Coturnix japonica: one gene and its partners. The protein of the gene in region 1 binds, or shares a complex with, the protein of each later gene. Links are inferred from orthologs where the notes say so. Each region holds a gene or a part of one and is shown in the gene's direction. Other genes may lie near its edges. The genes, in order: HDAC1, CHD4, MIDEAS, MTA3, MORF4L1, RBL1 and SAP130.

Evidence for each region.
Region 2: HDAC1 (region 1) and CHD4 share a complex: the UniProt entries of both Homo sapiens proteins name them as parts of the nucleosome remodeling and deacetylase (NuRD) repressor complex. The link is inferred for Coturnix japonica from reciprocal best matches to the Homo sapiens genes HDAC1 and CHD4.
Region 3: the proteins of HDAC1 (region 1) and MIDEAS are in contact, whole or in part, in a cryo-EM structure (PDB 6Z2J), measured with the Homo sapiens proteins. The link is inferred for Coturnix japonica from reciprocal best matches to the Homo sapiens genes HDAC1 and MIDEAS. Residues at the interface, in NP_004955.2 of Homo sapiens: Tyr14, Gly17, Asp18, Asn21, Tyr23, Gln26, Lys31, His33, Arg36, His39, Leu43, Asn44, Tyr48, Arg49, Lys50, Met51, Glu52, Ile53, Tyr54, Arg55, Pro56, His57, Thr65, Lys66, Tyr67, His68, Pro81, Ala119, Val122, Lys126; in NP_001036783.1 of Homo sapiens: Arg722, Asn724, Gly726, Ser727, Arg728, Phe729, Gln730, Glu732, Pro734, Leu735, Met736, Arg737, Asp738, Arg739, Ala740, Leu741, Ala742, Ala743, Ala744, Asp745, His747, Lys748, Ala749, Asp750, Leu751, Val752, Trp753, Gln754, Pro755, Trp756.
Region 4: HDAC1 (region 1) and MTA3 share a complex: the UniProt entries of both Homo sapiens proteins name them as parts of the nucleosome remodeling and deacetylase (NuRD) repressor complex. The link is inferred for Coturnix japonica from reciprocal best matches to the Homo sapiens genes HDAC1 and MTA3.
Region 5: HDAC1 (region 1) and MORF4L1 share a complex: the UniProt entries of both Homo sapiens proteins name them as parts of the SIN3B complex. The link is inferred for Coturnix japonica from reciprocal best matches to the Homo sapiens genes HDAC1 and MORF4L1.
Region 6: the proteins of HDAC1 (region 1) and RBL1 are in contact, whole or in part, in a crystal structure (PDB 7SME), measured with the Homo sapiens proteins. The link is inferred for Coturnix japonica from reciprocal best matches to the Homo sapiens genes HDAC1 and RBL1. Residues at the interface, in NP_004955.2 of Homo sapiens: Ile414, Ala415, Cys416, Glu418, Glu419, Phe420, Ser421, Asp422; in NP_002886.2 of Homo sapiens: Tyr849, Ile850, Lys853, Val854, Thr860, Phe861, Gln862, Met865, Lys866, Tyr879, Arg880, Asp929, Leu930, Ile931, Tyr934, Asn935, Val939, Lys943, Leu947.
Region 7: HDAC1 (region 1) and SAP130 share a complex: the UniProt entries of both Homo sapiens proteins name them as parts of the mSin3A corepressor complex. The link is inferred for Coturnix japonica from reciprocal best matches to the Homo sapiens genes HDAC1 and SAP130.

The regions. Positions count from the first base shown.
Region 1 is NC_029538.1:4,505,151-4,508,142, reverse strand, and holds part of HDAC1 (histone deacetylase 1), read left to right. Parts: intron 1-805; coding exon 806-944; intron 945-1,017; coding exon 1,018-1,159; intron 1,160-1,285; coding exon 1,286-1,378; intron 1,379-1,678; coding exon 1,679-1,787; intron 1,788-1,964; coding exon 1,965-2,105; intron 2,106-2,584; coding exon 2,585-2,693; intron 2,694-2,773; coding exon 2,774-2,904; intron 2,905-2,992. UniProt on the Homo sapiens protein: Histone deacetylase that catalyzes the deacetylation of lysine residues on the N-terminal part of the core histones (H2A, H2B, H3 and H4).
Region 2 is NC_029516.1:69,352,155-69,356,459, reverse strand, and holds the start of CHD4 (chromodomain-helicase-DNA-binding protein 4), read left to right. Parts: upstream 1-1,392; 5' UTR 1,393-1,484; intron 1,485-2,319; 5' UTR 2,320-2,383; coding exon 2,384-2,480; intron 2,481-4,305. UniProt on the Homo sapiens protein: ATP-dependent chromatin-remodeling factor that binds and distorts nucleosomal DNA. Acts as a component of the histone deacetylase NuRD complex which participates in the remodeling of chromatin.
Region 3 is NC_029520.1:23,416,272-23,420,106, forward strand, and holds part of MIDEAS (ELM2 and SANT domain-containing protein 1), read left to right. Parts: intron 1-2,333; 5' UTR 2,334-2,568; coding exon 2,569-3,835.
Region 4 is NC_029518.1:21,315,168-21,319,002, forward strand, and holds part of MTA3 (metastasis-associated protein MTA3), read left to right. Parts: intron 1-610; coding exon 611-669; intron 670-1,634; coding exon 1,635-1,759; intron 1,760-2,868; coding exon 2,869-3,020; intron 3,021-3,672; coding exon 3,673-3,835. UniProt on the Homo sapiens protein: Acts as a component of the histone deacetylase NuRD complex which participates in the remodeling of chromatin.
Region 5 is NC_029525.1:17,848,079-17,852,347, reverse strand, and holds the start of MORF4L1 (mortality factor 4-like protein 1), read left to right. Parts: upstream 1-1,199; 5' UTR 1,200-1,299; coding exon 1,300-1,339; intron 1,340-3,796; coding exon 3,797-3,843; intron 3,844-4,269. Other genes in the region: ADAMTS7 (A disintegrin and metalloproteinase with thrombospondin motifs 7), read right to left, coding at 1-70. UniProt on the Homo sapiens protein: Component of the NuA4 histone acetyltransferase (HAT) complex which is involved in transcriptional activation of select genes principally by acetylation of nucleosomal histones H4 and H2A.
Region 6 is NC_029535.1:564,099-568,631, reverse strand, and holds the start of RBL1 (retinoblastoma-like protein 1), read left to right. Parts: upstream 1-1,658; 5' UTR 1,659-1,750; coding exon 1,751-2,100; intron 2,101-2,208; coding exon 2,209-2,409; intron 2,410-3,518; coding exon 3,519-3,583; intron 3,584-3,675; coding exon 3,676-3,804; intron 3,805-3,916; coding exon 3,917-4,077; intron 4,078-4,533. UniProt on the Homo sapiens protein: Key regulator of entry into cell division. Directly involved in heterochromatin formation by maintaining overall chromatin structure and, in particular, that of constitutive heterochromatin by stabilizing histone methylation.
Region 7 is NC_029524.1:1,640,259-1,644,093, forward strand, and holds part of SAP130 (histone deacetylase complex subunit SAP130), read left to right. Parts: intron 1-843; coding exon 844-1,015; intron 1,016-2,243; coding exon 2,244-2,348; intron 2,349-3,049; coding exon 3,050-3,411; intron 3,412-3,835. UniProt on the Homo sapiens protein: Acts as a transcriptional repressor. May function in the assembly and/or enzymatic activity of the mSin3A corepressor complex or in mediating interactions between the complex and other regulatory complexes.

The DNA.
Region 1 (2,992 bases):
TGCACAGAAAAGCAAAGGCACAGAAGTTGCCTGGTGTAGGTGCCAGCTAAAAAGCAAGAAAGGGTTATTTTTCTTGTTCTTAGCAGAAAGCCAATGTCTCTGGCCATGAGGCAGAAGCTGGAACATTTAAAACACTTTGTACCAAGGAGATGTGGTACTTCAGGACTGTGATACTGTGCATCTACAGTAGGGCTTTGTGTCTGCTACTCCCCCAGTGACATCCAGCAATCTTGGCTTCCTGTCACACAGTTGAGCAGTACCTACCAGTGCTGACCGCAGCGTTCTGATGTTGTTTCTTGAAGTAGCTGTGCTTTGTGATCCCAAGATTGTGCGTCCCCAGAATGTATCACTTCTGTTAATCCTTGGAGACTTGCAAAACTGCAGAAAGTTTACAAAGGAGCCGTGGGAGAGAATGTTCCTTGTCTAAATGCGTATTCAGTGACTGACCTAAATATATATTGGGTAAAACCTTTCCTTAAAGTCCATTGTTTGGCACACTGGGAATTCTGGGCTGTTTTCGTGTGTGAGCTGGGCTAGAAAGCTGTGCACTTATTTGTGCAGATCTCGTGCTCTGAGGTGTAGGTGGGGGAAGCAGCCAAAAGTGTGTGCATGCGAAACAGAGGCTGCGTTTCTCGTCCATTTCCTTTGTTTGTTTGTTGAGACATCCAGTGTTTAAGCCCTTGGGTTTGTGCCCAAAGCACACACAAACAATGATGTGATGACAAGAGACCTGTGCTTCACCCCTGAGCCTCTGCCATTGGTCCTTTGCCCTTGTGCTAACATTTTGTAATTCTTCTCCCAACAGCCAGCGCTGTGAAGCTGAACAAGCAACAGACAGATATTGCTGTGAATTGGGCAGGAGGCCTTCACCACGCTAAGAAGTCAGAGGCTTCTGGCTTCTGTTATGTCAACGATATTGTCCTGGCTATCCTGGAGCTCTTAAAGTAGGTGCAGTTCTTTGCCCTCTTCCCATTTGCTCTGATGAAATGCAGCATTTTGACTCCTTTCTGATCCTAGGTATCACCAGAGGGTCCTGTACATTGACATTGATATTCACCACGGAGATGGTGTGGAGGAAGCCTTCTATACCACAGACCGTGTGATGACTGTGTCCTTCCATAAGTATGGAGAGTACTTCCCAGGAACAGGGGACCTGCGGGTGAGAATGGAACCTTAGCAGAAAATTGCTCTGAAATGTGATCACTCTTCCATTTGCCGTCATACTGATTGTGCAGTTTGTGTGCTATGGTGACCTTGTGCTCTGTCCTGTCTTTCCCTCTAACAGGACATTGGTGCAGGCAAAGGCAAGTACTACGCTGTCAACTATCCCCTCCGGGATGGGATTGATGATGAGTCCTATGAGGCAATATTCAAGCCGGTAAGTGTGCTGAGTGATTCTTTGTGCATCATACTTTGTCACTGGGAGGCTCATGGAGCCATTCTTTAAGGAGACTCAGACTGCTGTTGTAAGATTCCTCAGTGGCTGTGTTCCTCCCTAACAATTGCAGCCTGTTATCATTTAGCTTTTCTTGGTAAGAGCCCCAGTGTTCCCAGTATATGGGAGTCAACAGCTGTGGGAACACCAGGGATGTCTTCACGTCACTTGCTGACATGGACATTACTGTGTTGCTGTGACACTGTCCTGTGGAGAAAGTGTAACAATGAGTTTCTTGTTTAGGTGATATCTAAAGTGATGGAGACATTCCAGCCTAGTGCAGTTGTCCTGCAGTGCGGGTCGGATTCACTGTCTGGGGACAGGCTGGGTTGTTTTAATCTGACCATCAAAGGTAAGAATACAGTGTTTCCATCAAAATAACAAGGCTGGGTCTGTGATGCCAAGAAGCCAGAACTGTGCAGCACAGTGCCTGAGCTAAATTGGCATAAGTAATCTTATTACTTTTCACTGAAAAATGGGTCTTTGTGCCATGGCGTTATTGCCTTTTTCCCTGCTGCCTTTGCTGCAGGTCATGCCAAGTGTGTGGAGTTTGTCAAAAGTTTTAATTTGCCTATGCTGATGCTGGGAGGAGGTGGCTACACAATCCGCAACGTGGCCAGATGCTGGACCTATGAGACTGCTGTGGCTTTGGACACTGAGATCCCAAATGGTAATTTTCCCCTGGAACTTTTGAGGCAAGACAAGAGACAATGGCTACTTACCTAGTGACAGAGCACAGGGAGGGAGTGTTGCTGCAGGGAGGCAGGAACAGCAAGATGTTTCATTAGCTCTTGGTTGTTACTGTGGAAGAGCTTTTTGAGTCTGTGGTTTGCAGTAGTTGCTCTTGTTTGCATTACAGCCTTCTAGTTTTCCCCTCCATCAAGAGATACCCAGCAGTCTTGCAAACGAGATGACCTTCTACTGCTATCTTTTGTTCACACTGATAACATTTAACTGCCAAGTGAGCTTAGACTGCCCTGTTGCTAAGCTGGCTGTTTTGATCTGAGTTTGGGCTATGAAATGGTCAACTCCTACCTCTGGGAAAGTACAGCTGTGCTCTTACTTCGCACTGAAATCTGCTGTATATGAGGGATCTCATTACTGGTCCAGAGGTGATTTGATTTTTGTTCTATTTTAACTCTTATGCAGAACTCCCATATAATGACTATTTTGAGTACTTTGGACCAGACTTTAAGCTGCACATCAGTCCCTCAAACATGACTAACCAAAATACCAACGAGTACCTTGAGAAGATCAAGTAAGTGTTTGCCCTTCTTCACATGGCTGACACCTTTTGCTGGGTAAATACAAACATGTTCCTTTCCTGGCTGGCTCTAGGCAGCGTCTCTTTGAGAATCTGCGCATGCTGCCTCATGCCCCTGGTGTCCAGATGCAGCCAATTCCTGAGGATGCTGTTCAGGAAGACAGTGGAGATGAAGAGGAAGAAGATCCTGAGAAGCGCATTTCAAGTAGGTGCTTGCCTCTGGCATGGCTGCATTGCTCTGCTGGGAAGTGCACTGCACAGAGCCTGTACATCTCCAAGCATTAGTGCGCAGT
Region 2 (4,305 bases), on another chromosome or scaffold:
GGGCAGCTGTCAGTGCACAGAAGGAAGACAGGAGTTGTGCTGGGGTCCGTGTGAGAGCTCCCAGCCTGCACACCGCTGTTTGCAGTGGCACGGTGTTCTGTTGCACTTACCTGTGCATAGGTGTGCACAGTGCAGCCCTTTACTGCTGCCTGTCCTCTGTAGGGCTGAGAGAACCAACGCAATGCAAAGGGACAGAGGACAGGGCGGCACCTGTGTAAGGCAAGAGGTCAGAGGGCTGTGTAGGCAGGGTTGTATTAGCAGGGCTCCATAAGCACACGAAGGAACACAATGCAGTTGGGCTCCACACCGCCCAGCCCATCTGTGCTAGCGGCACAGGGTGTGCATGGAGGAACGGCTGTGTGCATGGGCAGCGCGGGATGCTGCGGCGGTGCTCCAGGGGAGGAGCCAGCAGACACTGACAGCCATTGTTCATGGGCTGAGGTGGGCAGGGCTGGGTGCCCGGCGAGCTAACGGAGGTGCCATGGGGCGAGCGGTGCCATACAGTGACCATTAACGGCACGGCGACGTGTGTGCAATTAGGGCGTACGGGCGAGGCGATGGTGCCAGGTGTAGGGCAGCAGCAGGGCGCAGAGCAGGGATGCCCCGCATTCCTTTAGGACGGGGACAGCTTTAGGGCGCTACCACGTTGTGCACCTCGCGTTACATCCCCGACGTACGGTCCAGCAGCGGCAGAGGTCACCGGGAGACCCACACTCAGTGCAGCCGGTGGCTGCTTGACCCGGGGGACCGTACCCGGTGTGAGCCGGGCGTGCGGGCTGGGACACCTGGGTGAGCTCTGAGCTCTGAGGCCATGGCGGTGCCCCCCGCGGCCATGGCGGTGCCCCCCGAGGGCCCGTCCCGCTGCGGGCGGGGCGGTGTCGGAGCCCCGCTGCGGGTATTATGGGATGGCAGGCTGGCCGGTGGCTCCCGGCGACTATTATGGGATGCCTGCCCGCGCAGGGGGAGGGGAGAACTATTATGGGATGCGTGCCCGGGGTGTGACTATTATGGGATGTGGAGGGGATCGGCTGCTTAAACCCCCAGGAGGTGTCCGTGGAGGGGGGGGTCCGGCGTGGGTATTATGGGATGCCGGAGCGAGGGGTTAGAGGTGGGGAGTATTATGGGATGCTCCCGATGGGGGGGGGGAGGGAGAGAAGGACCCGAGGGGGGATAGAGGGCGAGTATTATGGGATGCTGGGCCGGGCGGCGAGTGGGAAGTTCTGAGGGGAGAGTGAATATTATGGGATGTCTCGGCTGGGGGGGGTGTTGCCGGGGATACGGGGGCGGGGTCTGTTGCCAGGTTCACGGGGTATATTATGGGATGGAGGCGGGAGTGGGGTGGAGCCTGCTTTTTTTTTTTTTCTTTTTTTTTTTTTTTTTTTTTTTTTTTTCCCCTCTCCCCCCTTTAAGAGGCGGTGCCGGGGCCGGAGCCATTTTCCCTTCAGCAGCGGCGGTAGCGGAGCGGAGCTGCCGTCTGGAGCCGGGTGAGGATCTGGGAGGGAACGAGGGCGGGCGCGGCCTCTCCGCCGTGCCTCGCGTTGTGCCCGCCGCCCCGCGGGCTCTCCCCGGTGCCTGTTCCCCCGGCCGCTTTTCGGTCGCGGCTCGACCCGGGACCGCGGCGGCCGCGGGACGCTGCCCGCCCCGCCTCCCGGCGCGGCCCCGACGAGCGGCCGCCCCGCCGTGCCCGGCCTTACCGTGCGGCCCCGGTGTGGAGCCGGCCCCGCGGAGAGCCGGACCCCCGCCGCCCGCCGGCCGGACTTTCCCGGCCCCGCCCCGCGCCCCCGCCGAGCCGTCCCCCGCCCTGCGGCCCCGCTGCGCTCCGGGCGGGGGAGCGGCCGTGGGGCCTTTTGTGTCGGTCCCGGGGGCAGCGCGGCGGGCGGCCCGCCAAGTTGGGTCGGGAGGGCTCCGCCGCCTTGCGGGACCGCCGGCCGCCGCCCTGACGGAACGCCGGGCGGCTCAAGGAGCCCGTGGGAAGGCCGGCTCCGCTCCCCGCCTTCTCCCAGGCGAAGGTAGAAATAACCTAGGGCGCTCATTCCGGTCTGGCACCGGCTGCGGGAGGCAGGAGGATGTTCCCTATAGGACAGCTGTTTTGGCTCCCTGTGAGGAATGAGTTGCTGACTCAGTTTAACGTCTGCTGTCTTAAAGCCTGCTTCATCACAACTCTGATGTGATACCTGCTGCCAGAGTACATGTTATCTGGCGGCTCCCGGTGTAATGAAATCATTAAGCTTTTTCTCCTGAATCCTTTTGGTTGCACTATTGCTTGGGAAACCGCGTTTTGCATCTGCTATAACTTTCTCTTAATTCTTTTCAATGAAGTACTGGCTTCACCGGCAGGAAGGCAGCACTTCTGTGAGCCTGGGCCTCCCCTGGTTCAGAGGATATGGCATCGGGCATCGGATCTCCGTCGCCATGCTCGGGGGGCAGTGATGACGATGAGATGGAGATCCTGTTGAACAACGCTATCCCCCAGCATCAAGGTATTGAGGGCCTGCAGGGCAAGCGTGCGAGGTGGGGTAATGCTTTCCTTGGGCTGGATATGTGGAATAAATGCTCTGTGAAGGAATGTCCCTTCAGCTAGGAGTTAATGTATGTTTTTGATCTTTACTATTGGAATCCCAGTTCCAAGTGTGAGGCTCGTGGCTTTGTGTCAGGTGGAGCAGACTTTGTTCCGAGATACCATAGGTTGTCAGTGGGGGCTCATGCTCTGGGAAGGAGTGAGCAGTCAGTGTTATGTCTTAATTTTGACCAAAATGTCTGAGTTTCATATTCCTGGATTGGGGGAGGTGGCTGTGTATGTGAAAGGGGAGGATGTCTGGCTGTTTCATCTGGGATCTCAGGCTTGCTGCTGTCCAGAGCAAACTGCCCTGGGCTCTTGCATGACCCACTTTTTCTTTGCCACACCCAATTATTGAGGCTTCTGGTGGCTCGTTTTCTGTACTGCCTACTCACCTTTGCTTTTCTCATAGTCTTTGTACCTTACCTTGTTGCCTTGTCCCTTTTGCTTGCATCCTCATCTGCATGAGACTGGAGTTAGAGCCCTGGGTACTCTGCTGTTTTGAATGTTATTGATGCGTGCACTAAGGAAGCCATAAGCATCGGGCTTCTCTGTTTCCTTGCAAAAAGAGGTTGTATGTATTCTGATGTGTTGGCCTGTTGAGTTTTCCCACCAAGACATGCCTGTTGTAGTGTTGTAATATCAAATGAGAAAACGTTACAAGTGGAGAGGCAAAATGTTGTGGAAGGCTTGGCTTTTTTTTAGGGTATTGACTTGAGCTGCATTTGGTACCTCTTAGGTAGAGGGGAGATGGTCATTAAGCCTTGTGAGGGAAGCCTTGTTGAGGAAAACAAACTGTTAAAATCACTGCAGACCTGAAAGCTTTAGGGAAAAGCATTGGAAGGGGTGGGATACTTAAGCTCTGAATTAGCTGGAGAAGGTGTGGAATCCCCATATGAGCTGGTGTTGCAGGACTATGTGAGCAAAGACTTGCTAATTAGTTGGCACGGTGGCAGGACTGCAAGACCCCAAATTCCGAGGGCTTTACTTCTGCTCTGTCTGCCTGCTGCAGCTACCTGACCTGAGGCTGCCTCCATCCTGCCCAGCTCCTGTGGTCAGGAGGCCATTTTCCCTTGGAGGGAGAAGGAGTGACTCTGGCTGTGTGCAATGGGCGGGGCGGCAGGGGAGAGCGAATGGCTGGGCTGCTCTCTGAGCCTGCCACAAAGGAAAGGGTTGCCCGGCTCTCCCTGGGGTTGGGAGAGGTAGGGGCACAGATGGAAGGGATGGTGATGGGGAGTTGGCTGCTTGTCCCTGCGCTGGGCGCTTGCTTGCTAGCTGCTGACAAAGAGGGAAGGGGTGGAGAGAAGGCTATATCAAGTCTGGATTAGAATTGAGTTGCTAAGTAGCGGCTTACCTATGGGGAGGACAAGTAGTGGCTTGCTCGACTGTGTTATGAATGTATTTTAATGTCTGTAAGCTGTAGGGTACTCTGTTCTGGTGAAAAGAAGAACACTTTTTTTATTCTGGAGGACTGAAACGTTATCTTCAGGTCTCAAACATACTTGCTAAATGTACTTGCTGCTTTAATTCCTTTAGTTATGGTAATCTACTCTGTGCCCTTCCCTCTTCTTATTCAGTTAGAGCAAACTTCTGGTCCCTAGGAACTGCTCAGTTGGGAGAAGGAATGTTGTGGAAGTGGGCCTTGTTGGAGAGAGGGTGTATGGTAGTACCTTGCCATATGATTAACTGTAAGTGTTGTGAACAGTAACAAGGTGTAAGCAATAATAGGGTGAGCAAGCTCTTCTGTG
Region 3 (3,835 bases), on another chromosome or scaffold:
CATAAATTCTCCTAGAGTTCCTTTAGTCTTGTTGAAAGAGGACTGGAAAATGAGCTGAGAAGTTGCACTTAGAAAAGGAAGGAACGCCCTGGCTCTGTGATATGCGGTGGCAGAGATCCATGGTTTGTAGCCAGGGTGAAGGGGGAGGGAGCAGAGGGAACAGCTATGTAACAGACTGAGGAAGTGAGTCACTGCTCTGTGAAACACAGGCCTATGGTTCCACTAGAACCAGAGCCAAGCCTGGCCTCCAAGGTGGAAATTGCATAAGTTAATTTAAACCCTTTGTCTTTTCCTCCTTGACACACTACCAACTCTGCCATAGTAATAAAACCTGCACTGTAGCCGTATCCATTTTGAGGAAACTCAAGTTACTGAACTTTAGTGTGCTGTATAGTTCTTTCTTATTATTTTTCATCTTATACAGAGAGACTAAAGGATTTATTTCAGGTTTTGATGGAGTGTGTGTGTTAATCTTAGCAGCTTTGTGCAGATTTGTGAAATTCAAGGACAGTTTTTCTGAGCAGTAGCCTTGTTCTTTTTTGAAAATTCCTTCCAGTACGTACAGTACAAATAGGAAAACTGCCTTTTCATATAAAGGAAGAAGAGGTGCCTCCTGCAGTTGATCCCTAAACTGCATGTTTGTTTCTAAAACACTTTGTGACTCTGGAATAAAGTGTATTATTTTAGTAATAGGGAATTTGCAAACCTGTTTTCGTCAGTCAAAAAAAGTGTTTCTCTTTCATGCTTTCGGGTCTCTGAGATTTAAGGCCATTTAGTTGATACTTACAAGTGATGCTTTACTAAAGGTTTTCCCCATAATTCCTGATGACCAGCTGAGCTCAGGTGGGAAAGTCTCAAATGTTTTGCAAAATCCCTGAAGGGGTACAGAGCTATAATTGTTGTTTGTACCTGCGCCTCTGATGCCTGAGAATTAAGTTCATTCATCAAAGGAAGCTTGATTTTATGGTAAAAAGTATGCTATAAATGTCTTAATATCTTAAATCCATCTTAAAATATCTTACAAATCTTTCAGAATTATATTGGCACAATCTGTCTTGAAGTGTATATCAAGAAGAGACAGTAACAGAGACTTGCCTATCATTACTTGTTTGTTCACAGTTTAACAATTTCACTAAATGTAAAACTGAACTGCTTTGCCGCGAGTGTGACCTGAGCAAGAGCAGTTGCTTTCAGCTGTTGAAAAAAACCATCTTAAAGCTTGAGCAGGCCCTTTTCTGCAGCATGTAGATGCCCGATAGGTAGTTCTGAATTGGAAAGTAGTGTGGTTTGTCTTGCCTGGTGGGCAGCTCAGTACCACACAGCTATTTGCTCAGTCTCCCCAGGTGGGATGGGAAAGAATCAGAACAGTAAAAGTGGAAGAATTTGCAGGCTGAGATAAAGACAATCTGCTAGATAAAGCAAAAACCAGGTGCACAAGTGAAACAAAGCAAGGAATCCATTAACAACTTCCCATCTGCAGGCAGATGTTCAGCCACTCCCAGGAAACTAGGGCTCATCGCATGTTTTACTTTATTGGGAAGACAAACTTCACTGCGAATGTTCCCTCTTTCTTTTCCCCAGTAGTTACTGTTGAGCACAGTGCCATGTTATATGAAAAATCCCTCTAGTCAGTTTGATGCTGAGCCCCCTCCCAGCTTCCTGTTTCCCCCAGCTTTCTCTGTGTAGGTCAGCATGAGAAGTCCTTGGCTCTCTGTGTAAGCACTACTCTGCCATAAGTAAAACATCAGTGTGCTATCACCACTGTTTTCACAAAAAACCCAAAACACATCATCATACAGACAATTAACTTTATCCCAGCCAAAACCATGACAGAAAGCAACTATAATGATGGGGAGTTAGTAGGGGGTGATGGGCTGTTGCCTGATTCTTTTCTTCAAAACATTCACTGGAGCATCTTGCTGTGTGTTTGGCTGCAGCCTTAGTGTGTTTGAATGTCTTTGGGAAATGTGGCCTGACACATTATTTTTCTCTTTGGTGAGTCATGAAGGTTTTGTTTTGTTTTGTGTTTTTGAGTTCAGATTATCCTGGCTAATTGTCCAGATGAGAGTTTAAGAGAAAAGCATTTAGAGTTTGATTAGTCAGAAGCCTGTGTGCAATTGGGTATTGCATCATGCAAATGTATTATATCTACTTTGTAAAACTAAATTGTTTTACATTCTCTTGGCAAGTCATATCTATTATTTCTTACACACACTGTCCAGATCTTTGTTTCCGTCAGAAATAGGACAGATATGCACATAACTGCTTATTGCATGAGTTTTTATATTCCATTTATCTGTTAATGATTCACTGTAATTGCTTCTCTATTTCAGGACCTACAACTAAGTGGACCCTACTGACCTGTGAACAACAAAGGATAAAAGTGAAAAGAAGCGTGAGAAGCGCACATAGAAAAAGGAAGTGGAGGCACTTTCATCTGGACTTCTTTCCTGCCCCTTATTACTAATACTGAATGGAAAAGAGAGATTTATGTGCCTTTTCTCCCCCAGTCTCAGGGATGGGTGTATTATAAATACGGTGTGTGCAGTTGGAAGAATAGACTGAATCATGAATCTTCAGGCTCAGCAAAAGTCTTCAACCAAAAGGACTGGGAAACGAATTAATTATTTTAATGAGCAAGATATAACTGCGTCATCAAAAGAGCCGCAGCAGCAGCTTAAAGAAGGACAGTATTATGGTCACGGAGGGAATATTCCAGCCTCCCAAACTATGGAGATTCCTCACACAGCAGGATTAACAAGTGCCCCCAGCAATGTTGCTTTGATGAACTCAGTTTACAGTCAAGATAGGGGAGAATCAGTGATGATGTCCCAGTCAGTAACAGCTGTCAAATGGCAGAATTCACTAATGGGAAACAGGTTGCCAGAGAGAGGCGATGCCCACTGGCAGTCTCCATCTGCAATGTGGAACCACAGTATGGTTTTTGGGAGCAATCCAAAAGGACCCCATGCCAATGCAGGTGCCCCGGGCTTCTATGGTCACCCAGAAGCCCTTAAAAGAAATCAAGAGAAAGGAGTATTTGTGTCTCAGATGGATTTGTATGAAGATGCAGTCCAACAAATGATGTCCCAGAAGGCTCAGCTGGAGCAGCAAGCTCTGGTTAGACAGCAAGCACAAATGAATTCCTTTCATCAGATGCAGAAACAGCAGCAGCAGAATCAAAGTCTGCCATTACAGCCTTTTCAGCTTGCATTTGGTCACCAAGGCCAGAAGCAAGGTCTTCCTGAATTATTGCATGTCTTTCAAGAAGCCCCAGCTTCTTCCACTCCAGCATTTACTGCTCAACAAAAACAGCAAGCTCTTCCCCAGCTACAACTGTTTGAAAATTTCTATCCTCAGCAGCAGCAGCAACAACAGGCTGCCACACAAGTTTTTGGTCTACAGCAAACTACTTCCATAGCACAGCCTCATGTGGCAGCTGCGGCACCTCAGCATCACATGATGGCACACCAGTTTCAGCAAACAGAGAGGAACCAGGAACTATTCAAGGCTCTAACAGAGCAGAACCAACAGACTGTGCTACCTCAGACCCAGATTCCTTTTCCAAGAAGGTCACGGAGACTCTCTAAAGAAGGTGCCCTGATGACATCTACAGGAGAAGTGACAGCTTCCAAGCAGGCAGAAGAACAATCTGGCAATTTATTTCTCCATCACTGGCAAACACATCAGCAAGAAGTCCCATTGCAGCAGCCACTTGAATCACTGACCCATAACAAAAGTAGCTATTCACATCCCAAGAGAATGGATCAGGGGCAGAAGGATGTCCTAGCCAATAGTGAACTGTGCCAGATGGAAACGGACAGGCATGCCATCG
Region 4 (3,835 bases), on another chromosome or scaffold:
CTTCAATGCAACATGCATTTGAGTTTCTTGAAAGGAAGTCATACCTTTGAAAAATCACAGATTATCTCTATAGCAGTGTAGCTTTACTGCTACTGCTGTGTTCTTGACAGAATCTTAATGACACTTAATAAATGCCGATGCTTGGTGGACTTTCCTGTTCCACTTCCTTGTACTATTTATAAAATATCAGTTCAAGCTGATAGAGCACACAAGAAGTATTGAGTTACTTGACTTGACTCATCATGTACAGTTTCACTCACTTGTTTTCCATCTATTTTGTGATAAGGGTTAGCTACAGTGTCATACTTTTTTTTCCCCAAAATGTAATTTATATACATATTCATTGTTGTTTCTACAGATTTGTTGTCATGTGCTGAGGATTTTGAGTTTTACCAGGAAGGACAGCGTGCTGTAATTTCAAACCAATAATAAAAATAGACAGCTCTATTTTTTAATGACTTCTGTCTTCCACATTTCTACACTTTTTTTAGAGTCTTTTGTAGAACTGTGGAATAAAACACAAAGAATTTAAGATTGGATTGTGTGCAGTTTTATGACTTTGTGTACTTGAAGATAATAAAGTATTTTAATGTGTTAATTTTTCATCTAGAAACGTCTGAAAGCAGCTGAAGCGGAAAGTAAATTGAAACAAGTATACATCCCCACCTAGTGAGTACAACAATAAACTTCTTTTTTTAATAACTTATAGGTGAAACTGTAATGTGTATCAGCACACGTGATATTCCCTTCATCATTGTCCTGATACTTTTATTATTTATATACAAGCAGTATATAGCATTTTCTGATAATATTTCTACGTGTATATAAATTCTTTGTCTTTATTTCAACTCACTGACTTTGACCACTAAACTTTCTGTTCTGGAAAGTCGAGCACTTCTGTAAAAGCTGATAAAGTGCTACACGAACTGCTCACATGCAAGAAGGGTCTTGTCATTTAAAAGCGGCTTTTCTGGAGCAGTTGCTTCAGAATCTCTGTAGCTCTACCTTTAATATTTATATTTAAATATACCATTTATATTTACATTTAATATTAATATTTGTGTAAATGTAGAATTTCGAAATAGAGGCTGTTAATGTAGTTACATAAAATCAGATACTCACATTGGTTACAGTTTTATCTTCTTGATATCATCTGTTCTTGACTTAGAGACAAGATGTTCTGGCTATAAATTAAAGGTAGCACTCAGCCCAAAATCTTTTGCCTTTGATCAGTTCTTATTAATGAATGCTGTTTTCCTCAGAGATTTGTATTTTACTTCTTTAGATTTAAACTTGGTTCTATATTTGCTTTTGTTAATGTGTGGCTTATAGAACCAAGATATAATCTCTATTTCATATTTATTTTATTTTGAGGCTTTGTCTTTAGTAGCTTGCTAAACAGGCTTGACCATTATACGAAGATCTGTAAATGTGCACTGTGTGGTACTGAAGCAGCTCTTTATGAAACAACTGTGTACTGTAAATACTGGAGAAACATAAAGATTAGTCCTCTGCTAATTTGTACAGATGCTGTCACCAAACAGAATTCTGGAATTAAGTTGTTTTCATTTTTATAAGAGGGTTAGAAAATAATTTCTGAAAAATGACTTATTTTATTTTATTTTATTTTGAAGCAATAAACCAAATCCCAATCAAATATCCAACAACACTGGGAAACCTGCTACAGTCAATGGAGCAATGGGAGCCTCTTACCAGGCGCCAGCCTCAGTAATAGGGAGGGCTTGTGAAAGCTGCTATAGTAAGTAAAATTTTGTTTAATTTTGGAATTATTTAGGAGTTTGACTAATCTTAATACACATTAAACAACATCTACATACTTTTATTTGCATACTATAAGAAATAATTTTTGATCAACTGTGTGGCAGAAATAACTTCAGATTAGATCTGCCTTCAATAAATTGATTAAATGTTAATACTCTTAACATTAATCAACAATAATCCACTTATTCATTTTCTTCATCAGCAATTTAGTAAGTATGGAACAATCAAGTATTGAATGATGAAATTCTGTTACCTTCGGGCTTCTAAATCTTTACTTTTGTTTGTCCTTTAAATTTGTTTTTAAGGGTTTTGTTGCAGATTTTTGTTTATTTGTTTCATTTTTGTTTTTAATTTGCTGTTGTCAGTGTTGGGTATGAAATGATCGAGTAATTTTATTTTTTTTTAATTTTTATTTATTTATTTTTTAATTCTCTAGCATTTAGTGAATTTGTGATTGGCCCTTCTTGAAATAACAGTTTCTGATATAGTTAGTTACATACATCTGTTGTTTTTCAAGTTATATTTTTAAGGAATAATTTTCTGATAAGTTCGATTACAAAAATAAAAGACTAAATTAACGTTTCTAAATGAGACTCAACATGTATGGGGTAAAGATAGGCATGCATCTTCAAAGCTAGCAGATGTGCTTACCCTTTTCTTAAAAGGATCCTGACTTGTAAGTTCTGATTTTGTGCAACTTGGAGGTCACAGAGTGGAAACAGAGATCTTAAACATTTTCTTTATGTAACAAGTGTCCTAATTAGCCATGTTAAAGTTGAGAAGTCACAGAGAGTGAGAGTGGAGGGGTTTATTTTCTTTTTTTCCTGATTGGTTTTCTTCTGTCTTTTAAGAACCCTGGAAGAAAAGCTTATAGGGAGTCCTAAGTTGGAAAGTAAATGCAGAAATACTTCACTGTTCTCACTTTGGAGTTGACTTTGAGGTGCTTTTAGATAAGTTTCTATTTTCTTCATTTCAAATGAATTAAATATTTTTCTTGATACTGCTTTTGAGGAATGCATTACAGCATTTGAATATACTGTTCTGAATGTAGCATGCAATTTATTTGTGGTGTTCTCTCATCCTTAGCTTCACAGTCTCACCAGTGGTACTCTTGGGGTCCTCCTAATATGCAGTGTAGATTGTGTGCATCTTGTTGGATTTACTGGAAGAAATATGGTGGCCTGAAAATGCCCACGCAGACAGATGAAGATAAACTCTCTTCCAGCCAACCTGCAGAGGTAGGATTGTGTAGATAAGCCTTCCTGAAGTGAAGTTTGATGTCTTCACAACACTATTGTGGTTTGAATAATTAATGGCATGCATTTTATATATGTGTTGAACCGTGATGTTACAAAACTTATCTTATTAATCGTTTTCCTGTCTTTTGTGCAACTAAACATTGTGCTAGTCCTGACTTTTCTTTATTTGACCAATAGAAATGTGGACAAATGTCCACTTGCATTTTTGTTAGATAAATGTCATCTTGTCAAGCAATTGGTATATTAACTATAAAACATCTAGAATGGCATAATGTATGTCAATTCACAGCAGCACTCTTCAGTATGTTGCATGGCTTCATATACGTAGTCCCAGTTTATTGAATAGCACTTATACATATGAGTTTTTAACCTTGTGAATTTATTCAACTTTTGGATTATTATTATTGTTATTTAATTGACTATGAGGAAAATATCTTTTGTTCATTTTCTTCATTTGTTTGGTGGAAGCAGGCTGCTTGTTCTTTCAACTTGATGTGACAGGATCAAATAACACCAGATAATTCTTTTGTTAAACAGAATTATTTTTGGTACGGCCTGTCACTAGTAGGAAAGATTCCGATTGTGCAATTCAAGTATGTGTTATTATTATGTTTTTGTTTTATTTCTGTAGGAAACCCATGTTAGAACTCATATGTCCCGGCAGGCCACACAAGGAACTCCAGTTCGTAACACTGGAAGTCCAAAGTCAGCTGTGAAAACACGCCAAGCTTTCTTTCTTCACACAACATGCTGGACAAAACTTGCCCGTCAGGTCTGCAAAAATACCCTTCGGC
Region 5 (4,269 bases), on another chromosome or scaffold:
TGCCGCCGCTCCGCTGCCCGCCCGCGGCCAGAGCGGCGGCGAGGAGCAGGAGCCGTCCCGGGGCCGGCATGGGTGCGGGCAGGGCCGGGCCGGGCACTGAGCGTCTCCCGGCCCGCGGGGCCGCCCCGCCGCCGCTGTTCTCCCGGCCCGGCCCCGCCGCTGTCCCGCAACTGCCGGAGCAGCTCGGGAGTGACCCCGCGCGGCCGCCGTGAGCGGGACACGGCGTTCAACACTTCGCAGAGTGGAAAGCAATAGGGTTCTATGGTGAGAACGGCCAAACAACGTACATTTGCTCTAAATCATCTCCTCCCACCGGGAAAACGCGTGGTTTTGGCTCCTCTGTGAAAGAGCTGCCTCTTGTTTCACAGCAAACCGACACAAACGTCAACCAAAGGCACTTTGTTACTGCTCCATTGCAGCTGTCTTGTTTCCCATTAGAAACACAAGGGCTGAGTCCCTTTGTACATCTCTGTCATTTTGGGGTTGTTTTTTTGTTCTCTTCACGATAAAACACAGCACTTGGATCCTTTTGTTTAAGTAACTCCTTGGCAGAGCACAAAGACGGCAGGGAATCATAGTCCCTTCCTCACTAACTCCGGACTGCTGCTAACTGAGCTCATTATAGCACTTCCCTTCCCTGTACCCATCAGAACTCAGCAGTCAGCTCTATTGAAGCCAGAAGGCTGAAATGTTAAAAGAACAGCAAAGACACGGGTTTGGTTTCAGATAAGCAGGATTGGAAAGATCACTTGTGAGTCAGGTTTAATGGCTTTATAATGACATTATTCCAGTGACATTTTTCAAACGAAGCAATTCCTGCTCAGAACTCTGCATTTCTATGCCTAAATCCAACAGCAGAACACTACAGATGTTACATATAGGATATAGTTTACGTAGGCGCAGCTGAGAAGGGCACATGGACAACAAGTTCGGCAGCGCCCGGCTAGCTCAGTCGGTAGAGCATGAGACTCTTAATCTCAGGGTCGTGGGTTCGAGCCCCACGTTGGGCGTAAAGTTTTTCCTTCTCTCTATATTTTTATCACGTGCTCCTCAACGGCGCTCGGATCCGCACCGCAACGGACGGAACCGAACGTACAGAACCGGATGGACGGAACCGGCCCCATCTCGGGCCTGTCCCGTTGCGCCGCCCCGCCCCCCGCACTACCGATCCCGGCATGCTGAGGGCTCGGAGCAGTGCGCATGCGCGGTGCGGCGGGGGTTGGGGCCGGCCGCGCAGGATGCGGCGGAGGTGGTGAGACCCCGCGGGGAGGGGGCGGGAGGAGGGAGCCGCGCTTATAAATGGCGCCCAAGCAGGACCCCAAACCCAAATTCCAGGAGGGTGAGTGGGGGGGTCGGCGGGCTGAGCGGAGCTGGGGGGGCTCGAGGGTGAGCGTTGAAGGGGCGGGGGTCGGCAGGGAGCGAGGCCGGGCCCTCGCGGGCGGTGGGAGGCCGCTGTGGGGCCTTGGTAGCGCACGGCTGCGCGGAGCTGGTGGCGGCTGTGGGCGGGACGAGCAGGAACAAAGGGAGCGGTTGGAGGAGCCGTGCTGCGCACACACTGTAGTGCTCGGGGATGGGGCCCTGCCGCCTGTTTGGGGCCCCGTTATGACCCCCAGGCGCTGTTTGGGGCTCAGCTTTTGCCCCTCTGCCGCACAGAAGGAGAGTGGGAGGAAAAATGGGCTCTTCTCTTCCTGTCCCTCAGCTTTCCTGCCCGTAAGAGCTGGGCGTGCCCTTCTCCCCCGTTATTCTCCATGTGCTTGTTTTCCTGCAGGTGTTACATCTCCTAGATGGGTTAGATCTGTGTCTTGGGATGGAGATGAGCTCTGTGTAACGCTGCCCTTGCTGGGAAGCTGGGTTAGGGCTCCTTGCACAATCACAGGGCTCTGCAGCCGATGCTTGTGCTGGAATCCATACCTGTATGAGCAGCAGAGATTTTAGGATGAATGGTAGGGGTCTGCTGCTTACGGGGCTTATTTTGTGTTTGTCCCAGTTTTAAAATAATGGTTTATGCTAATACAGGTAATGAAGGTTTGTCCCCTTTTCCTCTGCCCCATCTTCACTGTGCCTTCTGTTTTGAGCAGCTGGCTTTGCAGAGCAGTTGCTCATGGTGGCCTGACACAGCGACTGGATGGCAGCTGATGTCAGGACACATTCGGTTGTGCCACATGTCAGTAGCAGCGTTACTGACCTGCAGAGACAATCAGGATTTAATGTGAGCTTCATGTTGTAGTGAGTTAATGCAAAATGTAGTGAACTGGAAGCTGAGCAGAATGAGCTCAGTGCAGCATTTAATTGAAGAAGTGTCCCATGAATGAAGCTTCCTGAAGTGCTGAAACTCAATTGTTTTATTACGGCCATCACAGCATGGCAGATAAAATGCCATGGAGCTTGAAAACCTCTCCTTAAAATACTGCCAGTAGTGTTGGGTGGGTTTGGCAGCTGTTATGTCACTTCCTTAAAGGAATGGGTGAGAAGGAGGCTGGATTGCTGTGATAACAGGTGAAAGCCTGGAGCTCCCAGTGTCCAATTGGAAGCAAGGATACCCCTTAAAGTGAAGGAACTGCCACTTTTTTCATGTAGGCTTCAGAAATGAGATCAGATTTGGTCAAGTGTGAATTAATGGTTCTTTGGGTGTTCTTGCGTCTGTTCACTGAGAATGGAGAATATTGAGTCTTTCTCAGATGTCGAGTTCAACCTTTGACTTGCTTAGAGGAGATATATCTGATATCTTTGCTTTCGCATCTGTTCTCAAGATGGCTTCGACATCAAAGGCAAGACTTGTGTCACATCCTTCACACACAACTTGTGAACCTATTGTTTCTATAAATACTCTGCATGTAAAACAGTTGTAGGAGGGGGCAGCCGAACTGAGACTTCCCCATTCCTACCCTGCTTTGTGTTTGAGCAGGGCGTGCTGGCATGGGAGCTGTTAGTACACAGCACAAATGCTTCATGTACTTTGGCTTCCTCAAGTGTTAGCAGAGGACTAAAAGGGTCACTTGTTGGCAGCTCTAAACCCATAACCTGCAAATCGGCTGTTCCTGAGCTGTGGGGCTGTGGGGCATCCCGTCGAGTCCCCCTTTCCAGCCCATGCAGCACCAGTGCTGGTGGCTCTGCTCTGCCTTGTGTATTGTAGCTGTGTGCTACACACTGGAGTGTGTTACACAGCTTCTCTCTCAGCGTGTGATGCATCACAGCTCTCAAGAAGGAAACATCTGCACGCCAATGTCCTCTGTTAAGTATGCTCAAATTCCTGCAGTAGAGCTGCGCAATAGGAGCTTACCATTTAGAAGCTGGGATGGAGGCTGAAGGATGAGCTCTGCCTGCTCAACACCACTAAGTGAGCAATTTTTCTTGCTGTTGTACAAGCCTTTCACTCTTGTGTCCCACAAGTGGGTTGGGGTAATGTCAGAATTCTTCTTCACTGAACTAGAAATACCAGGAATTGCACTTCATACCAGGAAGGGAGTGATGGTAACACTTGCTTTTGTTTGTCAGCAGCTTAAGATACAGGCACCTCATACCAAGAGCTGGTTCCCTTCTCTGAGTCAAAATGCGATGTCATGAAGACTGAGGAATCCCTTACAGCAGAATGGTTTTACCTGCTGAAGTTTGTTTGTACCAAGCCAGTGCATTTTCATGTCTGTGTCTGTAGTTATGGCTTTGATGGAGGTCTGGGTGTATCTCTGAGTTTCCTGCTAGGTTGCTGTTGGATTTATTCTGTGCTGTACTTGATAACATGTTTTTGAGGGTTGGCATTGCTTTTATTCTAAGGTGGCTTTTTGTGACTGTCTTTCAGGTGAACGAGTGCTTTGTTTTCATGGACCTCTCCTTTATGAAGCAAAGGTAGGTGTGGCTGCTTTTTACTGCAGGTGGTTCTGACTTGCCCAGGAAAGCAGAGAACTGCAGGAGCTTACTTGCTGTGCCCTACCTATCTAGGGTTAATGACTGAAGCTAAGAGGAAGGAAAACACACTCATAAGTACACTTCAGTTTTAAGCCCCATGGTTCTGTATTATGGCGAGGCATAGAAACACCAAAAGACCCCAACAAAACCAACTGAAGACCCATAGTAGCACTCTGCAGCTGTTCTGGTGAATTACTAAGGTTGCATCTTTTGTGTTGAACATCTCTAATGCGTGTCTGCTCAGAACACTGGGCAGCAAACTTGGTGTTTGCAAGCTAGCAAGTTGAAATGAGTAACCAGCACAGGAGTATATCAGCAGGGTTAGGATATTCCTACTCCCTGCTGTAGGTCTAAGTGAGACTGAGT
Region 6 (4,533 bases), on another chromosome or scaffold:
AACCAATCATGATGAAACCCCCCCCAATTAAATGTCTTCTATTTAATGACTTCCTCGTAGCACAGATACTGGATCACTGTCGACAGATTTCTTAGAAATGCTGCTATCTCTATTTAACTAACATTTTGTTCAGTTTTGCCTCCAGTGGAAGCAGAAAAGGGTTTTCTCAGCTGTTAAATCCAAAATCGATATAATTTATTTATGTAAAAAAAAAAAAAAAATCACGATTGCTATATTTTTGAACCTTTTAAGTACTAACTTTCTTTTTATTCAGTAGAAGAACATGTACTTGCCCTAAATCCTTAAAATACAAATGCTATAAAACTTGCTGTATCTTCAAGCCTTACTGTGACTGGACGCAGACATCTCTTCATGGTCCGTTTCTTGCACGGGATGGTTTCTCCAGGGTTACGCTGGTAGGGAACAGGGTTGTAAGTGGCGTTTATTTAATTAGCTGGCATGCTCTGTACCTTGTTCTATTATCAGCCGTGTCCGCTCCGTCTCTGGGTGTTTAGGCTTCTCTTTGACTGCTTTGTGACCCTTTTGCAACCCGATGTGCTCTGTGCATTACTTGCGCTGTGAGGCATTGGCAGCTCCTTCTCATTTTCCATCCTATCCCAAAGAAACGCCGACGTTCCGCGGGTTGTCCTGGATCCCCACACAAACACATCCCCACCAAACGCGCTAACAAATAAAGGTCTGTGCTCTTGGATGTGGATAAAAAGAAAAGGAAAAAAAAACAAAAAACCAACAAAAAAAAAAACCAACAAAAAAAAGATTTAAAGGTCAGATTTTTATTTTTTTAATTTAGTGACGAGATGATGCTTATCTTTCAGACTTGGCAGAGCCTTGCTACAGATGTATATAATTTTTTTCAGCAAATATATGTGAACGTTTAATTCACCTGACTGTGATACCGGTTCCTCGCTTTTCTCTCGGCACCAGCGCCGAGGTCCCGCCGTGCTCCCGCAGCGGAGCGGCCCAAGGCACGGCGGGCTGATCCCGGAGCGCTGCGGGGCGCCCGGGGGCGGAGGCGGAGCCCGGAGAGCGGCCGCGGTACCGGCCGGCATCGCTCGGTGCGCTCGGGCAGCACCGCTCTGCGGGACGGTCCTTCTCCCACTGACACCGCGACACCTGCACCGGAGCCCGGCGAACGCCCGCAGGTGCCGAGCAGCGGCTCGCGGTGTCGCTCCGGCTCAGGGCGGCGCCGTTACTGAGCGGTCGCCGTTCGGTTCCTCGGGCGGACGGACGCGATAAGGGTCAGTTCCCGGCGGTGCGTGGAGCCGTGCGGGGCTGGGGCAGCTCCGAGGTCCCGAGCTGCTGCCCGAGGAGCCGCTCGCACGGCGCCATGTGCGGACGGTCCCGGCCCCGCAGCCCCGCTCGGCACAAGGTGACGCTGTGGGCAGCGCCGTGACACACGAGGCCGCCCCGCACCGCGACCGAGGACGGCGGCTCTGCGGAGCGGCGGGCACAGCGCGCACATGGGACGGGCCCAGGGACGAGCCATCCCACGGACACGGACACGGACACGGACACGGACACGGACACGTCCTGGTTCCGTCCGCCCCGCCCGCTCCCCCTCCGTTACACACACAGCCCCTCCCAGCCCCGCGCTCCCCTCCCGTTTCCCGCCCGTTGGCGCTCACGGCGCCGGAAGCGGCCGCGCCGTTTCCGGTGGTGGGTTTTGGCGCGCAGAGCAGCTCGGCGCGGTGCCGGCCGGGCCGGGTCGGGCCGTTGTTGGGCCGCCGTCATGTCCCGCACGGAGCCGCTGCTCGAGCCCGAGCTCGGCGCCGCCGTGGAGCGGTTGTGCCGGGAGCTCAACCTGGACGCGGGCAGCGCGGCCGAGGCGCTGCGCGACTTCACGGCGCTGCGCGGCACCTACAGCCTGGAGGTGGGCGGTGAGGCCGGGCGTCAGGCCGCGACGTGGCGAGTCGGCCCCGGCCCCACGCGCGGCGTTGCCTTGCAGGGGGACGCGCAGCACTGGTTGGCCTGCGCGCTGTACGCCGCGTGCCGCCGCCGCGTGCTGCCCACCGTGGGCTGCGGGACCGTGGAGGGGAACGGCGTGTCGCTCACCCGGATCCTGCGCTCCGCCAGGCTCAGGTGCGCAGCTCGGCCCGCGGGGCGGCGCTGAGAACGGACGCGCGTTAAAGCCGATAATAAAGTGGCGCTTTCCTCGTCGGCTTTTCTTTCTTTTTTTTTCCTTTTAAGTCTGATTCAGTTCTTTAGCAAAATGAAGAAGTGGATGGACATGGCCAACGTGCCGCAGGAGTTCCGGGAGCGGGTGGAGCGACTGGAGAGGAACTTCGAGGTGTCCACCGTCATCTTCAGGAAGTTCGAGCCCATATTTCTGGATGTCTTTCAAAACCCCAACGAGGAGACCTGGAAACCCCAGCGCAGCAGGAAGCAGAGGTACTGCAGAGCGCCGTGTGGCTTTGCATGGGTTTACAAGTAACGGGAACGTTTGTTGTGCTTAGAAAATAAGGCCGAGCTTTGAAGTGACTGAGTGTGAACGCAGGGATGGTGCAGGGCGGTGGCTGAGGCTGGGCTGTCAGTCCCCCCGTGCCTCTCAGGGTGCTCCGTCCGCGGGGCTCCAACGTGCGGCTGCTTTATGTGACTGCCCGTATGTGAGTGCCAGGTGAGCGCTGCCCTTCTGTGGGAGAAAAATGCAGACAATGTGCTCATCTGTGTGACACTGTAACTGCTTCTGGTGTCTTCCTGATGCACAGAGCGCTTCTAGATTCAAGGGCTTTGTCCTTGTTCTGCATTGACTGTGTGGTTGTCCCTGGTTGCTCTGATGAGGATACGACCTTCAGCAGCAGGAGCTGAGCTGGCTCTTTGCTGGGGGTTTCTGCTGCTTCACGTGCTGGTCTGGATGCAAGGGGTTAATTTGTGGTAACCCGCTCTGGTGTAGCTCCTTGTGCACAAATGGGAAGGGAGCTGCTGCTGCTGCAGCCAGTTCTGCTGCGTCTGCACAAGGAGAAATGTCCATGCACTGTTAATGTTCCTTCATCAGAGCAGCTCTCATTAGCGTGACCGCACTGTTAGCTTCTCTGTCAGGTGGTTTTCATTCATTTCTTCTCCTAGACTATTCACCAGAAGAGCTGCAGTGCAAGTTGTGGTTGCATGTTTTGAAGGGATGTGTGATGCATTAGTAAAACGTTTAGGAGAAAGATGCACTGCAATTGAGAGAGCCCTCAGCATGGCTCTGCGTGCAGCTCTATGAGACTCCAGTTGCAATTACACCATCACCAAAGCAGTGTGCCTGGGGCACCAAGCACAGGCAGCTGTTGGCTCAGAGCAGTCGGTGATGCTGTGCCAGAAGCTCTGCAGAGCTATCCAGGAGGCTGCAGTAAGAGGAGCTGCTCTGTGTGCCCGCAGCTTACAGTGTGCCTTAGTTTGCACTCATGAGGTGATGGCTCTGTCTGTTGCTTTGAGCATGGAAACAGAAGGAAACTTGCTAAGCAGTATGTTTCAGCTTCCTGGAAGCAGAGACTGATTCCCACCCCTCTCGTTGACAGGCGGGTGCTGTGTGGTGTTAAGGATCTCTTCAACTTCTGCTGGACCCTGTTTGTGTACACTAAGGGTAGGCTTGTGCTCTGCAGCCACGTGTTTCGCATGCGTTCTGAGTTACAAACTTCTGTTGCGTCGCCTGACATGATGTGCTGTCTCTTAAAGGTAATTTCCGTATGATTGGGGATGATTTAGTAAATTCCTATCATCTGCTTCTGTGCTGCTTGGACCTGGTTTTTGCAAATGCCATTTTGTGTCCAAATCGGAGAGATTTGCTAAATCCGTCGTTTAAAGGTAGGGTGGGGATCAGTTATTCAAAATGAAATACACTTTGTTCCTTTGGTTATTCTTCTTTAAGTAAAGATGGAGGTTGGTTGTTTTGTTTTTCCCCTTCGCCCATTCCCAGGTTTACCAGCTGACTTCCACGCACTAGAGATGAAAGCCTCAGAGGACCCCCCGTGCATCATTGCCACGCTGTGTGAGCTGCATGATGGGCTTCTTGTGGAAGCGAAAGGAATAAAGGAGCACTACTTCAAGCCATACATTTCTAAGCTGTTTGATAGGAAGGTTCGTATTGCTATTTGAAGGATGTGTGATAGCGCTCATACTGACGGTCCTGTCTTGAACACTGAAATCCCGTGTGTATGGAGGAAGGTGCACTGGTAGGCAGAGGACTTGTGTTGGTTCAGGTCTGTTCCTCTGTGCATTTTGGCAGGAGCGGAGCTGAACTCTCCCTTCTAATGATGAGTGCTGTAGGGCCCCCCTCTGCTTTGGCTTCTTATGTCAGTGGAGAATCCTTGCTTCCTTGGCAGTATGGAAATTGCAGGTGATAACCTGTTTTAATTAAAGATGATGTTATCTTGTGGAGTAGCTGTCATGATTGTCTGGATCCTGGTGTGTGTCATGGGCTAAACACAGTGCTCTGAATGAGGAGGTTGGGGTCACAGGTGGAAAAACTGTTCTGTGTGGTTTTGCTCCTGGAGGTATTTCTAAGCTCCGTGGAGATGTCTCTATTTGCCCAGT
Region 7 (3,835 bases), on another chromosome or scaffold:
TAACTCTGGGTTATGACATTGTGGTGGATCAGATACATCCCCATGAATGTTCTCCTTCACTAAATAATTAGTGAATGCAATTCATTGGCTTTTTTCAGGCACTCTGGGTAGAATATATGGGTAGTGTTGGATGGGTTGTGTGTGCAGGAAAAACTTGACAGTGCAGTCATTGGTTCTCTTCAGTCCATCCTTGTGGGAAGAGCTATTTACAAGCAGATGCTCACTGAACTGTTACAGCTGTGTTGGGTCACTGCAGCAGTAAAACATGGTGAGGTGCCTCCAGTTCAGACTGTGATTAAAAGCCCTTTTTTCACAAGGAAGGGTTTGTGTGATCAGATCCCAGTGATGGACTGAAGGGAAAATGGCAGCTAGGAGCTACCATTGTGCTGGCAGATAGCACTGCGACTCCCTGCCTTGTTGTTCTGCATGTTAGTTTTCCTGGCAGGGCTTGGTGAGCAGCTCAGAATCTGAGCAGAGCTGCCAGCTCACTTACAAAGTTCAAAGTTGCCACGTGGCCTCCACCAGCAGCCCCTGTTGTGTTGCTGACCTCCCTGGCAATTTGTGTGTCTTCCATTTCTTCTGGAAGAAGTATTTCTGTAGCCAGTAGTTGTTAGGCAGGGGGTGGCTGTTATCTGCCCTGCAGGAGGCCTTGTTGGCAGATTAGTAGTAGTTATGGTGTTAGTTATAGAGTACTGGAAGCGCTGCAGCTAAATATTGGGGGAGTCAAAGGAGCAGAGACAGCATCTGTTCTGCAGACACCTGCTTTGTTGTCAGACCTCCTTCAGTAACTGCTCCTTTTTCCTCTGTTCCTCTCTCTGCTCTGCCAACATCCATCCTCCCCAGCAGTAGTACTGGCAGATGGAGCCACCATTGTAGCCAACCCTATTAGCAACACCTTCAACACTGCTTCTGCAGCAACTACAGTTGTACAGACCCACAGCCAGAGTGCCAGTGCCCCAGCACAGGGCTCTTCCCCACGCCCCAGCATCCTGCGGAAGAAACCAACCACAGATGGGTGAGTAAGATTGAAGGGGGGACGCAGAAATGGCACCTGTGTTCAATCTAGCCCAGCTACATGGCAGTATTTGATTGTGGATAGGACGTTATACAGTCAGCAAGTGGTTGCAAGTGACCTGCTGATCTGTGAAGCACAGTTTCTTCTCCTCCAGGATGGATCATAGCTGCTTCCTCCTCTCTGTAATAAGATGTCTTTTGAAAGTGACCTTTAAAGGGAAAGTGGTTTTTGTTAAGCTAAGCAAGAAAGCCTCAAATCCAAAGAGGTCAATTACTAAAATTAGAAATCCATGCTTTGCTTTCAGAGCTTTTCTTGGAAGGGTGTGTGGATGAATAGTAAGGGTGGATTGGTACCCTGCTGTGCAAACTGATTAGGGAAAGGGGAGGGAATCACTTAAAATACTTCATGTTCTCTAGCTTAATTTCAATTGCCTGAATAAAAGAGGCAGGAGAAAGCATTAGAATTAACAATCCATTTCCTCCTGATTAATGACTGAATATGTTTGGAGCTGATATGTGCTATGAGGCTAAACCGTGGTGCTTCTTTTTCATTTGGGTGGAATCCTTTAAGGCAGAGAAGTTGCAAGCTGTAAAACCAAGGCATAAATTACAGAAGCAGCTGCAGATCACCGGAGAATGTTCCCATTTGAGCGTCTGATTATTTGGAAGACAGTCTTTCTTTCAGCCTCACAGGGGACTGAAAAGTCTCTTAAATGTTTTTCTGTGTGCAGCACTGAGCTGTGTAACGTCCACGTGCAGGTCTGGAGATCCTGGAGCCAGGCTTTGGCACAGTCTGCTCCAACTAAGTAAAGCAGTTGCCCATCTTAGTGCTGTGCTGTTTAGTTCCGGATAATTTGCTCTGTCCTGAGGTTATGTGGGATGTTGGTGTGGCCAGATCTCCCTTCCCCCCCCCCCCCACATCTGGAGCCTGGCAGTCTCAATAAGATGCCTTGACTGGCAAAGTGAAAGTAAGGCTGGTATTTCTGGAGAAACCCCAAATGTGAGGGAGTCTCAGCCAGAGCAACTAATCTCTTATCTTTAAAGAAAATAAAACCTAGAGGCTTGGTTAAGAACAAGACTTTCTATAGCAGGTTGGTTAGAGTGAGTGCACACAGAGAGAGATTTGACTCCGATCCTGGATTTGGCAAGAGGGGATTGATTCCTTTCCTTTCAGTGGTGTTTATCTTTGCATCAGAGGTGGGAACTTCAGATGTGCCCTTGTCTTACAGCCTGGCAGTCCGGAAAAGCTTAATTCCACCTCAGCCACCTGAAGTAGCGAGCACACGTGTTGAGAATACGATGCGAAGCACGTCTGGATCACCAAGGCCTGCTGGGTAAGACAGGGAGAAAAGCAACTACGTCGTACTGGCTTCATTTGTGTGTCTGATTTGTGGTGTTTGGGCATTGAGGTGCTTTCTTTTGGAAAAGGTGTTTTATATTTGTCAGTGTGATGAGTTTGAATGGATGTACTTGTGTTCCGAAGCTGAGGCGATGGGCTTTTAAAGGGTACAGTTATGAGTTTGGGTGGAGGTAGTGACAAGAAAATCACCATGTTGTGTTAAAGGCCGTGCTGTAGAACTTTTCTCTATAATTCTTTGACGTTAACTCTAAAGGAAGCTGAATTCTACCTGCTTCACTTGTATCCGGTGGCTTTTGTAATTCATTGTTTTAAAACCACTAGCCCCAGAGTGTGAGCTCTCACAAAAAGGATGAGGGCAGTACAGCTTTGGGCACACGTTCTATTTGTTTGCACTGTGAAGCTGCACTGCTCCTTTTGTGAGCGTTTTGAGGCCATCTGCAGTCAGTCGTGAGATGTGCATGTGCATTAGAAGAGAACAGCACCTTAGACAAAGGGCTTAGAGAGCACAGCTGAGATGACACACACTCCTGCTACTACAGTCATTACCCAGCCAGGTGTTACTGGTACAGGAAGAAACTGACCCAAGTCCAGCTGGTCTCATTTACTTTGTGCTAGAAGGTTGTGACCGAGATGCAGTTGACATCAATTTGTTTTACTTTTCTTTCAATGTCACAGTGCCAAACCAAAACCTGAGATTCACGTGTCCATGGCCACTCCTGTCACAGTGTCTATGGAGGCTGTGTCCAACCAAGGCAGTGAGCAGCCCACCATCGCGGTTCCTCCTTCCTCCCAGCAGCCCCCCTCTGCCATTCCAACCATCATTGCCGCAGCCAGCCCCACCTCGCAGCCTGCAGCAGCTCTGTCCACCATTCCAGGAGCCGTCCCAGCTGCTCCACCGACTTCTACCACAATTGTGGCTGCTCCTGCTCCTCCAGCAACCATGAGTGGGGCCCTTTCAGCAGTGCTGGGACCTGTGGTGCCAGAGATAAAAATCAAAGAGGAGGTGGAACCTATGGACATAATGCGACCGGTATCTGGTAGGTGGTTTTTGAAGCATCAAGGTGTTTCTCTTGTTGAGAAAGTGGATAAATTAGGATTTCAACACAAGCAACCTGAAAATGGAATGACTTCTCTTTCACAGTAGCACAGAAAATAAGTCAAGGAGTTCCTTCACGCCTCACTTTCTTATAGTTCTGATCCCTGCCTACTGCTTTTCAATATAGAACAAGGGACTTGGTTTTGTGACATGACTGAGGTATGACATGCTATATGAGCACAGTATGAAGTCTTAATGGCCCAGTAAATAAAATGGAAAGCAACGATTCAGGTTAAGCTGACACAAGTTAGTAACTCCTAGAAGGAAAGGGCATTGCAGCGTCTGAGAGGGTTCCTGTCTCAGGTACTAAGAACCGCAGAACAGCAACTAGGTGAGCATCTCTAGGTTCTAATTTGCCTTGTTCT